Linked DNA regions of Drosophila melanogaster. The protein of the gene in region 2 interacts with the protein of the main gene of each other region in a biochemical or structural test. Each region holds a gene or a part of one and is shown on either strand. Other genes may lie near its edges.

The links. Proteins that work in one complex are often made in the same cells at the same time.
Region 1: of the proteins of Rab10 (region 2) and Crag, one has a biochemical effect on the other in vitro, tested with the Drosophila melanogaster proteins (one study listed by BioGRID).

What each region holds. Positions count from the first base shown.
Region 1 is NC_004354.4:8,589,478-8,595,330, forward strand, and holds the start of Crag (Calmodulin-binding protein related to a Rab3 GDP/GTP exchange protein), read left to right. Parts: upstream 1-2,553; 5' UTR 2,554-3,114; intron 3,115-4,002; 5' UTR 4,003-4,018; coding exon 4,019-4,319; intron 4,320-4,615; coding exon 4,616-5,162; intron 5,163-5,220; coding exon 5,221-5,371; intron 5,372-5,433; coding exon 5,434-5,705; intron 5,706-5,770; coding exon 5,771-5,853. Other genes in the region: CG12081 (uncharacterized protein), read left to right, coding at 1-885; CG12659 (uncharacterized protein), read right to left, coding at 1,826-2,025, 2,085-2,217. UniProt on the Drosophila melanogaster protein: Calmodulin-binding protein that acts as a guanine exchange factor for Rab10 and Rab11. Essential for maintenance of adult photoreceptor cells.
Region 2 is NC_004354.4:20,248,700-20,255,191, reverse strand, and holds Rab10 (Rab10), read right to left. Parts: upstream 3,855-6,492; 5' UTR 3,562-3,854; coding exon 3,435-3,561; intron 2,955-3,434; coding exon 2,755-2,954; intron 2,685-2,754; coding exon 2,595-2,684; intron 2,127-2,594; coding exon 1,929-2,126; 3' UTR 501-1,928; downstream 1-500. Other genes in the region: CG17065 (uncharacterized protein), read left to right, coding at 1-60, 111-292; CG17068 (uncharacterized protein), read left to right, coding at 4,239-6,323.

The sequences.
Region 1 (5,853 bases), about 12 Mb from region 2:
CCCAAGACAGCGCAGTGGTCGAGGCCCCAGGTCACTGGCTGTCTACCCGGAGCGCGGGATGGTCACTCGGCCTGTGTCATTGGCAATAGTATGTACATCTTCGGTGGATTCGTCGATGAGATCAACGAGTTCAGCAGCGATGTGCATTCCCTTAATCTGGACACCATGGAGTGGCGCTATGTTCAGACATTTGGCGTGCCGCCCAGCTACAGAGATTTTCATGCGTCGGTGGCCTACGAACAGGAGCGAATGTACATCTTCGGCGGGCGGGGCGATAAGCACAGTCCGTACCACAGCCAGGAGGAGACCTACTGTCACGAGATCGTCTACCTGGACATGAAGACCAAGGTGTGGCATCGACCGTTCACGGCCGGTAAGGTGCCCGTTGGTCGACGCAGCCACAGCATGTTCGTTTACAACAAGCTGATATATGTCTTCGGTGGCTATAATGGCCTGTTGGATCAGCATTTCAACGATCTGTACACCTTCGATCCGCGCACCAAGCTGTGGAACCTGATACGGGCCAACGGCAAGGCACCGACGGCGCGTCGGAGACAGTGCGCCATTGTGATGGGCACTAGGATGTTCCTGTTTGGCGGCACCAGTCCAAGGAGCGGCTCCTCCAGCTCGCCGGCAGCTGTTTCACCCACTCAAGAGACGGGCGGAGCCGCAGCGGCTGGCGGAGTTGTTCCGCCCGGTGTGGCGCTTATCGACTACAGCGATCTGCATGTGCTCGACTTTGAGCCCACTCTAAAAACCCTGGCCACCATGGTGGTGCTCAAGCACCAGCTGGACATCTCGGGGCTGCCAAGGAGCTTCCGCTCGGACCTGCAGATGCTGACACAGCCGAACAGTATTAGCCGGCCCATCAACCAAGCTGGCTAGCGTCCAAAGCCGTAAGGAATAAGCCGGAGTCGACTGCCACAAAATGGAATGAGGTGGAAAAATGGTGTTGAATCACGGAGCCACTAGTCCGGTTCTTTGTATTGGAGCTCGAATAACACTTTCGGGAGAGATGACGAATGGAGGACCTGAGCGAACGAGGGAGAAGCCCCAGTAATTACAAAAGTTTTAGAAACTTGCTTTTGGTACTTCTGATAGCTGCTAAATAATACACAATAATTATGACCATGCGAATGTAGAATATAGTTCATGAAACATTTATAAATCGTCCTCAAATAATACACAATAATAATGACTATGCGAGTATAGAATATAGTTGATGAAACATTTATAAATCGTCCTTTCGCCAAAATGCCCGATAAGAAAATGAATATAATATCTTAAACTCATTAATCATATTATTCAGTTTTGTTTACTTTGCCTTCTTGCTGAATTTTGTATAGCTGGTTAACTTAACACTATATTAATCTGTGGGCCGTTCATTGCGAACTCCAAACTTGCACGAGTCGGCTGTTTAAATATTTGCTTTTCGCATTAGGATCTATGTGGCAGCCGTTTCGTTAATTTAGACACTTTCAAACCGCCAAGGTATTCATCTCACCTTGGAATTACCTAATCTATTTTTGCGGTCAAACTAGTGACAAATCTCTATAACTAATTTACAGAGATCATCTCCTTTTAGGCAGTGTATGCATATATATATATATATGGTAATTGTGGATGTAACTCCCCTTGAACGCGGTGTTCCAGGCAGGAAACAGTCATCGAATCACTTGAAAGCAACAGCCTCGCACGCAATGCCAGTAAGAGTAAGGTCAGCAGCGCTCTAATTGCCTATTATGAGTGGTAGTTGCAACGCAAGGCCTCCAGGTGCGGAACACAGCGAGTACTTGGGATGTATGCAGTATATGGATCGAACAAACTATCCCACGGCGCTGGTATAGCCGCGCACCATGAGGTAGCCATTGACGATGTCCGAGGGCATGTGCTGCATGGACGCGTACTCGTCGGCGCTGGCGAACCTTAGTTTCGTGTGCGGATCGGCATAAGGAGCGGGCAGACCGCTGATATCCGAGTACTTCTTGGCCGGAACCAACGAGGGCGGTGCATTGAGCGTGAAGTCTGCAATGTGAAGTACACATATGGATGCCGTTGCGAATCCACATTCATTGCTTACTCACAGGTGGGTTGTTCGGCGGACAGCTTCTGGCTACGCTCCATGTTGCTTATCTGACGTAGAGGGCGGTAAACACAGTTCTTTGGAAAGGTAAACGGACGCTTAAAGGAGCGTTTAGGCTTCGCATTTTGTTCCATATTTCACACGTTTCAAGCTTGCAATTGAGATGGCCAGAAATTTAGAGATGGCAACTTATGCCACGGTGAGTCTATCGAGAGTAGTAGGCATCCAAAGGCATCGTTATCGATTTGATAAGCGTTAAATATATCAAATAGAAATAAAAAAACAGCTGTCAAAATTAAAGAATAAAGAATAAATTATTACGCATCCATGTAAGTGGCCTCTGTAATTACTCCGTTCAAATTGTTTGAAATTAGTCTTTGAAAATTATAATTCAACCAGGCGGAAAAAGTTTGCGATTGGCGATGATATACTTTCAAAGTAATCAGCATTTAGGCTTATCGATAGACCAAAAGCTAGTCTTATCTGGCAACGCTGAAAATGGCCTGAAGCAAAGGCCAAATAGTTATTAATAATAGTAAATCCGATAATAATAGTCGCGTGTTTCGTATTGCATGTTAATTATATAGTTCGCCAAGCAGCGCATACAGGCGATTGGCACATTCCGCCAGTCACACCGAGCCGCGCACACGGCTGGCAGGCCAGTTAAATGAACATTATTCCTTACTTTTCTGTCCACTGCACTCCACACGTATTTGCGTAGCTTTTAAAGTAGCTAAATTCGTGGATTTCAACGCACTTGGCGCGTCTTAGTCAAAGTGGCCCAGTTAAGCAGTCCAATTGGAAAACTGTGAAAATGATGTAAAGGAAAACTCTCAAGTAGTCCAACTGTGTGTGCGTGTGTGTGTGTGTGCGTGCGGTGAGTGTTGGTGTGTGGAAATTAACGTAGTGTGAAGAAGAAAAGCGAAGGAAAAGCGACAATTGCAGTCCAAGGCGAACAGCAAAAGCAACTGAAGGTTGCCCACGCCCCCTTCGTCCCCGCGCCCCCTTGGAGGACAACTAACGGGAGTGCAGTAAGTTAACCAGCCAGCCCCTCTTCCCCTGCGCCCTGTGCCCTACGTCTTCCACTCACACCTGCCAATTGGACTCCTGTAAACAAAAACATCGCATCAGCAATCAACACAAACAAAATGCGTTGGTGCTATTGTGCTGTAAAGCGGAAGTGAAGGAAGTTGAATCATCAAGCGGAACTTGTTTTCCCCAGCTCCATTTGTTCTTGCTGTCGCTGTTGTTGCTGTTGCTTTTGTCGCTGCTGCCGCGCGAAGCATAAAAAAAAAGTCGCCAGCATACAAAGTCCAATCAGAATATCAGTTAATGCATGCAATTCCAATCGGACGCCGACATTATATGATATGTAAACAAAAGCATTTTGCGCCCAGCGGGCAAAGATACAGTGAAGCATGCGCTTGGTGTCACCAACCAGTACTCCAGTGGGTCACCCACAAAATAATCATAATATCTTGCGGTTCTTCTTTGTGGGTAATGCGATCGGATGTGATGAAATATTAAAGATATCAGTTCTCAGCTTTTTTACCATTTGGTTTTCAAGAGATAACATCATTTTCACATCGTTCGAAAAACCGCAAAGTAAACATGTTTCTTTTCATGAAATCTTAAAAACATAAAGATTTATATATGTTTCCTCATGTCCGTTGCACGAACCAAGGGAATCACACGATTACTTGTGCGTGCCGCTTATCTGAATCTTACCCTCGGAAGAAGAACTATTAACTTTGGCCCCAGGTGATGATTACTTAACAAAATATTAATTAATGTGAAATTGGGAGCCACCGCAACTAGTAGAACTGGTGTTCCCTGTCGACCTTATCTTATCTGGTCTGCCAGTCCCGCCATGCCAAGAAATTAACCACTCACTCGGGGTCTTTTGCTGTCTCTTGCAGAGGAAACGGCGCCGCCATGGAGGAAAAGCGCATCGCCGACTACTTTGTGGTGGCCGGAATGCCGGAGAATCCGCAGCTGCTGCAGGAGAACAGCTTCAATGACTCGGGAAGATTGAGAGCGGCCACCACCATCGAACCGATCACGGACATCGGCGTCTATTTCCCGCTGCTGGGCGAGGAGGTGCCCGAGGGATACGAGATCCTCTCGCACACGCCCACGGGTCTACAGGCGAACCTCAATCACGGATCGGTCCGCACCACCGACTGCTACATCTACTTCCGGCGTGGCAAGGATCGCCCGCCGCTGGTGGACATAGGTGGGTGCATTTCTGCCGGTTGTGTTTTTTTTTTTTCTAAGAACTCCAAGTTATTTTTGGTAGATTTAAGAAATCGAAATGAAAGACTGGGCTTTATTTCTTGATAACGAAAGTAAATTTAAATATTGTAATCTCGACACGACTCGTGATAAAGCCAACAAATTGTTGCTTATTTAAATCAAATAAAATCGTTCACAGTCAATATAAAATGTACAGTTATAGGTGATTAAATGCTTGCGTCGTCATTTCTAAGTAATAAAACTTGACTTTTATATTAATCTTTTCCACTCTTGCAGGAGTCCTGTACGATGGCCACGAGCGGATCATGTCGGATGCGGAAATCGTTGCGGAGACGCCTGGCGGCAGGGTGGCCAATGTGAACAACTCGTCCGCGAAGACGTTCCTCACGTACCGACGCGCCCGAGCGGACATGCCCTGCAACGAGCTGGTGGTCACCGAACTGTGCGTCATTGTCCAGAGCAAGGGTGAGCGGGCTCCGCACGCCTTTTGCCTAATCTACAAGACCCTGAACAAGGGCTATGTTGGCAGCGACGTCTACCTGTGCTACAAGAAGTCCATGTACCGGCCTAAGCACATCAGCTACAAGCCGGAGATCCTGCTGCGCTACCCCACCTTCGACCACACCGACTTCCCGCTGAATCTGTGCCCGAGCGTGCCGCTCTTCTGCCTGCCAATGGGCGCCTCCCTGGAGGCCTGGCCACACGTCAACGGCACGGAGAAGCGGAAACCCATCAGTCCGGTGTTCAGCACTTTTGTGCTCACCGTGAGCGATGGCACCTACAAGGTTTACGGATCGGCGTTAACTTTCTACGAGGATTACGAGTAAATTGCAATTGAATATATTTCAAAAATTATATACACTAAGGATTTACACTTTCAGTGAGTCAAAGTTGTCGGCTGAGCAGAAGGAGCTGCTCGGTTGGGACGAGGAGTTCGGCGCCCAGCACTCGCTGCACATGATCAAGGCTATATGTCTGCTGTCGCATCATCCCTTTGGCGACACCTTCGACAAATGGCTGAAGTACCTTCATGTGAGCTTACACTCCCCATAACTTTGATAGAATCTAATCCATATCTGGTTTTATCGTTATAGCGAATGGTTCTGTATGACGTTAATATACCCATTCCCGTGGAGCGCTACATCACCCAGCTGCTGGACGAAGTACCGTTTCCGGCGCCCAGCATTCACCTGCAGCTGTCCAGCGAGTCCAACGATCGCATACTGCTCACACAGCCGGAAGATTCCCCGCTGCCGCGAAGTGGCGCCGGTTTCCACATACTGCTCCAGAACCTGGGCACCGACAACTGTCTGCATGTGCTGCTGCTGGCCCTCACCGAACAGAAGATACTCATCCACTCACTCAGGTATGTGCATCACATGTACCGAATATCCTTACCGTATCCTACATATCGATTTATTCGCGCCGCAGACCTGCCACGTTGACTGCTGTGGCCGAAGCCATTGTCTCCCTGCTGTTTCCGTTCAAGTGGCAGTGTCCGTACATCCCACTTT
Region 2 (6,492 bases):
CGCTGTGCGGCAGCATCGCCCCGATGGACGAGTGCGTGCGGATCTTCCAGAAGGCGACCGGTGAGTGCGAGATCCCCGCTAGAATTCGCATTAATTACTCCGTTTTGCAGACTGCTCCGTGGTCTATGCCATCGAGGCGGCCACCTTGCATCCAGCACAGTGCCTGAAGATCGAAAAGCAGAAGGGCACCCTGGACTTTGGCTCGGACGCGGACTTCGTTCTCCTGGACGACCAGCTCCGGGTGCTATCCACCTGGATCGCTGGCGTATGTGTTCATAGGACTGTCAAGTAGCGCATCGAATGTGCAACTGTTGCAATTGTTTTTATTTACCTGATGCAGGATGCAGGATTCTACACCGAAGATTCTCCAAATAAATTGTTAAACTTATACATTCCAATTGAAGGAGCTTGAGATTCTTGTGAGTGCAGCCAAGGATGTTCAAATGAATTGTTTAACGATGATTGTTTGCCATTTGAAATAAGGAATCACTCACTGGTTTATATGACATGGTTTAGGTTGTTCTTTATATTTTAATCGGTAAATCATTTGGTGTGGACAACTAAACTAAATCCATATACAGTTACAAATAATAGGTTTACACGACAAAAAAAAAAGAGTAGAATAAAATTACAAGGAGACGGGAGGCGAGCGCTAGGTGGTGCGTTCGGTTTGGGGCGCTCCTCCCTTGCGGATGCGAATGCAAATGCGAATGCTACATTGATGGCGTGCACCGTCCTTACATACAAGCATGGAGATATATACGCGCGCACACCCAAGCCCCCTTAAGTGTACACAGATACATACATATATATTATATATAAATTGGGTGTGCGGGCGCGAATGCACATAAAAACGATGCGATATACGGTGTGTAATTTCATATATGTATATATATATATAAATATATATTTATATCTAAATATCTATATATATATATATATATATATATATATATATATATATATATATATATATATATATATGCACAGGCAATAATCAAAAACGATTTCGGAACACCTCGATCTCGAAACTCCCTATGGAACTGCAACTCTGGCCGAGGATCTGGCTTGAAAGCTTGAGTGGCCAGGACGCAGAGCAGGGCGTACATCACCACCCGCCCCATCGAACTCCTCGCTGGCTTGGCTTGGCGTCGACATAGAAAGCGAAAGCAAGCTAAGTAGGTATAGGCTATATACTACTATCCGATGTATAATATGTATAGGTGTTATTTATATCTAGGCTGAAACGCAAAACAAAAACGAAACACTAAGTGGGGCGGCTGGGGAGTGCGAGTGGTGGCGAACGAGCGAGCGAGCGAGCGATCGAATGACTGAGTACAGGAATCGTAAGACTATATGTGTATCAAAAGTACGTTACAAAAGTTGCTTATGTCTGCGTCAGCGACATCAGCGCTATCATTATCGTTTCTTGTGGCTGGACAGTGGCTGGAGCTGATCCTCGTTATCCGATCCACGTTAGTCAACCGATCGAGTGCGGCATGGATATGCAGATCCTTGCGTCCACGTTGTGTGGGCGTTAACTAACGTGGCCCATGCCCGACCACCATCCATCGTTCGGAGTTTTGTAAAGTTGCTTCCAAATGTTCGTATTACAATATCTGTTGCTTGTTGTTAAACTTTAGGTAGGTTGTTTCTGTTGCTTGTTCCATTTTGCGTATCCTCGTAATAAGTAAGTTTCCTACGTGCGAATGACCCCGGCTCTATTGCTTTGTTTTTTGCTTCGTCCGTGCGGAGCGGTTTCAGAAACCGGTCCCCACTGCTTTCGGTTCGATTCGATTCGTTTCGTTCCATTCCAATTCAATCTAGTCCAGTTTAATCCAATCCAATCCGTACTTCGCCGCCTTCCCCACGCACAGCTGAGCACAAACCGGGCCAAACCACGCCCCGTTCGCCTAGAACGCCGCTTTTTACGCGCAGCACTTGCTGTAGCCCGGCGCCTTCTCCTGGTTCCGGCGATCGATAATCACGCGCTCCTGATTCTCCGCCGACTCGCGTCCTGATGTCTTGTCCAGAATGGCCTCGGCCAGCTCGCAGAAGGCCCGCTCGATGTTTATGTTCGACTTGGCGGATGTTTCCATAAACCGAATGCCATGTTCACGGGCAATCTAAAAAACGTGGGCAGAGATGGGGAAGGGGAGCAAGTTATTGGCTTTGTAAACAAATTGATCAAACAGACGTGGGGCGTGTGCGATCATTGAGTAACAATCATAATAAATAACCAGAATAGTTCTAACATAAATTGTATGCCTCCGGAAATTTTCCCTTGCATTCATTACCACGGACATACTATAGCACCTAAATAGTTTCGTCTTGATTGTCAGAGAACGAATATATTCGCTGTGTTCAATTTGCAAACTTATCTTAAAAAATCAAAACAATAGGAAACTATTAAGGGGCATGGAATTCGCTTGTAAAAAACAGTTGGCTTTGAAAGCTAAACACACTAATATATGATCGATTTCCGAACTCAACTCCTATGGCAGAAGAGCTTAACGATCTAACTACGACTATATTTCCTAATCTCTGACAGTGATTGCTGTTGTGGGGGCACTCTGTGGATGAGGGATGCTCACCGCTTCGCCGCGCTCCTTGTTGACCACCCTCTTGTCCGTCATATCGCACTTGTTGCCGAGGATCATCTTCTCCACATCCTCGTTGGCGTGCTAAAACAAAAAAAAAAGAAGAAGATTTCAGACTTTAGAAAAGGCCATTACTCGCAGGGGAAACACCTACCTCGTCTATATTCCGTAACCATTTGACTATGTTCTCGAAACTCTTCTCGTTCGTTATGTCATAGACCAGCATTATGCCCATGGCGCCTCGATAGTACGAGGTGGTTATCGTGTGGAACCGCTCCTGGCCGGCGGTGTCCCATATTTGCAGCTTGATCTTCTTGCCGCGCAGCTCGACTGTTTTGATTTTGAAATCGATGCCTGAGAAAAACGGTTGAACGAGAAAGCAAATGTAGTGCGGAAAAACCAACGCAATTTGAGCCGAATGACGTCACGGCGGTGTTATCGATTACATTGGAATTGAATAAAATAAAGCAGTTCGACATTGATATCACGATGATTCATTACATTAGACGTATATGAAGCATTCATTCCAACCAAATGATCACACGTCTGTGTTACGTGTTGCGAACATGCAGTAGTTTAGTACGAAAAGTTCAAGTTCAGGGAGTTACATAGCCACATAGATGGCATATTTTGCTCACTTCTCCTCCGCTTTCCACTCCGCAGGCGATCGAAACAAGCAGTGCATAGGCCAGTCGATAAGGCAGTGCCACGCCCAGTCACACACCCACACACACGTATATATATCCTGGCTGTGCAGCTGACATGTGCGCGTGTGTGTGTGTGTGCGGTGCGGGTGGACAGATGCAAGTATGTGCGTACGGTCCCGTTACTCACCTATGGTCGATATGAACGTGGACGTGAATGCATCATCCGAGAACCGGAACAATATGCACGTCTTGCCCACTCCTGAATCACCGATCAGCAACAGTTTAAAGAGCAAATCGTAGGTTTTCTTTGCCATTTCCAAAACGCAACGGAACGCTCGCAGAACAAAGCACAAACACACGCGACACTCACACGCACGCAAACACACACACACACAAACGCACGGGCGCAGGTGACAAGAGATATTATTATTATTGAAGCGCCTGCCCTTTTTCGCTCTTTCTCTCGGTTATGGCCGCCTAAGCAATGATCCTGTATCTCGAGCTAGCTCTTTTTTCTCCGCGTGTCTTAAATGCGCCGAATTAATTAATATTTTCGCTTGAAATTGTTGCTATTAGAACTAGAGCTGGAACATGAATCGATATCTGTTCGATACCATCCATGCTCTCACCAGTGTGGCAACTTCGATGGTTTAATACAACTATCGACTGCTATGGAGTCACAGTTTTGAAATCACAGCTTAAAATCTAAAGAAAGATTTGAGTTTACTCTTGATAATACCTTAAATGCTTAAGTATTTTTGCTAGAAAGCTCATAACATGACTTTTAATTATTACGCCATTTGGCAGACCTCTGCTATCGGTACGACAGCCAATCGATAGGTAAGCACGCATTCAATTATCGGTATCGTAAAATAATAACAATTTCGCAAAATCCCAAACCGATTCGCAAAAAGGTGGATTATTCACACAAATCAGAGCGAACAACGTTTGGATTACAGTGATCCCAATCCCAGCCAATCCACCGCAGGCAATGGACATCGACTGGCAAAACGGCCTCACCGAGCTGAAGGATCGGGGCCAGTACCTGCTCCACTCGGAGAAGTGGGCCGACTGCCGCTTTCTGGTGGGTTCTTCGCCCACCCAGCGGCTCATTGCCGGCCACAAGCTGCTACTGGCCATGGCTTCGCCGGTGTTCGAGCGAATGTTCTATGGCAACCTGCCCGATAAGACGGACCCCATCGTCATTCCGGACGTGCAGCCGGAGGCGTTCGAGGCGATGCTGGAGTACATCTACACGGACCGCATCACCATTGGGTCCTTCGACAAGGCCTGCGAGCTGTGCTACGTGGCCAAGAAGTACATGCTGCCCCACGTGGTCACGCGCTGCACCCATTTCCTTTGGGCTGATCTTAGTCCGAAAAACGCGTGCCGGGCGTACGAGTTTGCCAAGCTGTTCGATGAGCCGCGCCTCATGCAAAGCAGCATGGATCTGATCGCGGCCAACACGCGCGAGGTTCTGTCCGATCCCAGCTTCCTGGACATCGAGGTCTCCACCCTGATGGCCATTCTTGACCAGAATCGCCTGAACATCGACTCCGAGCTGGATTTGTTCAACTGCCTGCTGAAGTTTGCCAGTGAGCGGGGCATCCTGAACGAGTCCGGCCAGGAAGAGACTGCTAGCGGAGGTCAGGTGCTGACCAAGGAATCGCCCGACAATGCTGCCGGCCATGTGCTGGTCGAAGAGATCAAGATGGAGCCCGATGTGGCGGCCATGGTGCAGCACATGCACCAGGACGACGAGGCTGACAGCTTCGAAACGGACGCTGGGATGGCTTCCACTTCCTCTGCGGCTGCCGCGGCTGCAGCTGCGCCCACGGCTGCCTCCCCGCCGCTGGACGTGGCTTCCGGCTCCGACGACCTGGTAATCATCGATAGCGACGCTTCGGCCGATGCCGCCGCCAACATGATTAACATCATGGACGCCCAGCGCACCATTCTCGATGGCGCCATGCTCAGGCAGGCGGTCAAAAAGATTCGCTTTCTCACCATGACGCCGCAGCAGTTCGCGGAGGGACCGGCCCGTTCCAAGCTGCTGCAGCAGCACGAGGCCCTCTCCATCCTGATTAAGATCTCCAGTCCCTCGCTCAACGATTGTCACATGCCCGAAGGCTTCTGCGTGTCGCGGAGCACGCGCAACTTCTACGAGTCGGGCCACCGACACGCCCAGAGAGAATTGTCCTCCTCGTATCGCACTGGAGCCGCTCCCTCGGGCGTCTGTTTCCCGGGACCGGGACCGGCAGTTCGCAGCGGAGGACCCTCCGGCGGCGGTATGATGATGGGCATTGCGCCCCGTTTCGGATCCGTGGGCACGGGATTCGGCTTCGCAGGCGAGGAATTGGTCATCCGCCCGCCGGAACCGGTGGGCGTCCCACCGGATGCCGCACCTGCGCCAGCACCACTGCGCTGCTTCGGCGAGGGCTACGAGAGCGGAGCGCCAGTCCCAGCGCCCGCCAATGATGATGATGGCGGCGATCGAGGCGCACCGGCGCCCGCTGGCGGCGCTGCAGCTGGAGGAGCTGGATCCGCAGCTGGAAATTCGCACAACGACATGGTGCGCGCGTACTGTATGCGCTCCCTTACCCGGCAATTTGACTTCCGCAACACCAGCGTCACGGATGCGGGCGTAACGTTCCAGGTGGACACCAACATTTGGATCCTGGGCGTCCAAGTGCCCACGCGCGTGCTGTGCGGCGAGCTGATGACTTCTGCCGGTTTTACGGAACGATACACCGAGGTGCTGTACGCCCACATCCAGGACATGCACGGCTCACGCATCACATACACGCACTGCACGGCACGCGTGCGTTACGATTCGCTGCTGGACATCACGTTCGATCGACCGGTGTACATATACCGAAACCAGATCTACAAGATCTACGTGGTGTTCAACAAGACCGGCTGGTATCCCATGTACTCCTGTGTGCCCGATGCCAACTGCAATCGCGTGAAGTTCATGTTCAACGTGGGCAACCCCACCGAATCGGTTCGCGACGGCCTTATCTACGCAATTATCTTCTCCACACCGCAGGACCATGGCCGTCACCTGGTCGACTGAATGCGGAGCAATATGAGTTCGTTAGTTTAGGTCTCCTTCCTTGTATTTCCGATGTGATAGTCTTTGGTTGGCGTCATTGGCCATGGAAATTATTTGATCTGTACGATTATATTTCCCCTTCTCCTAGTTCCAAAATGGGAACTAATTGTGCATAGTTTTTACATCACTT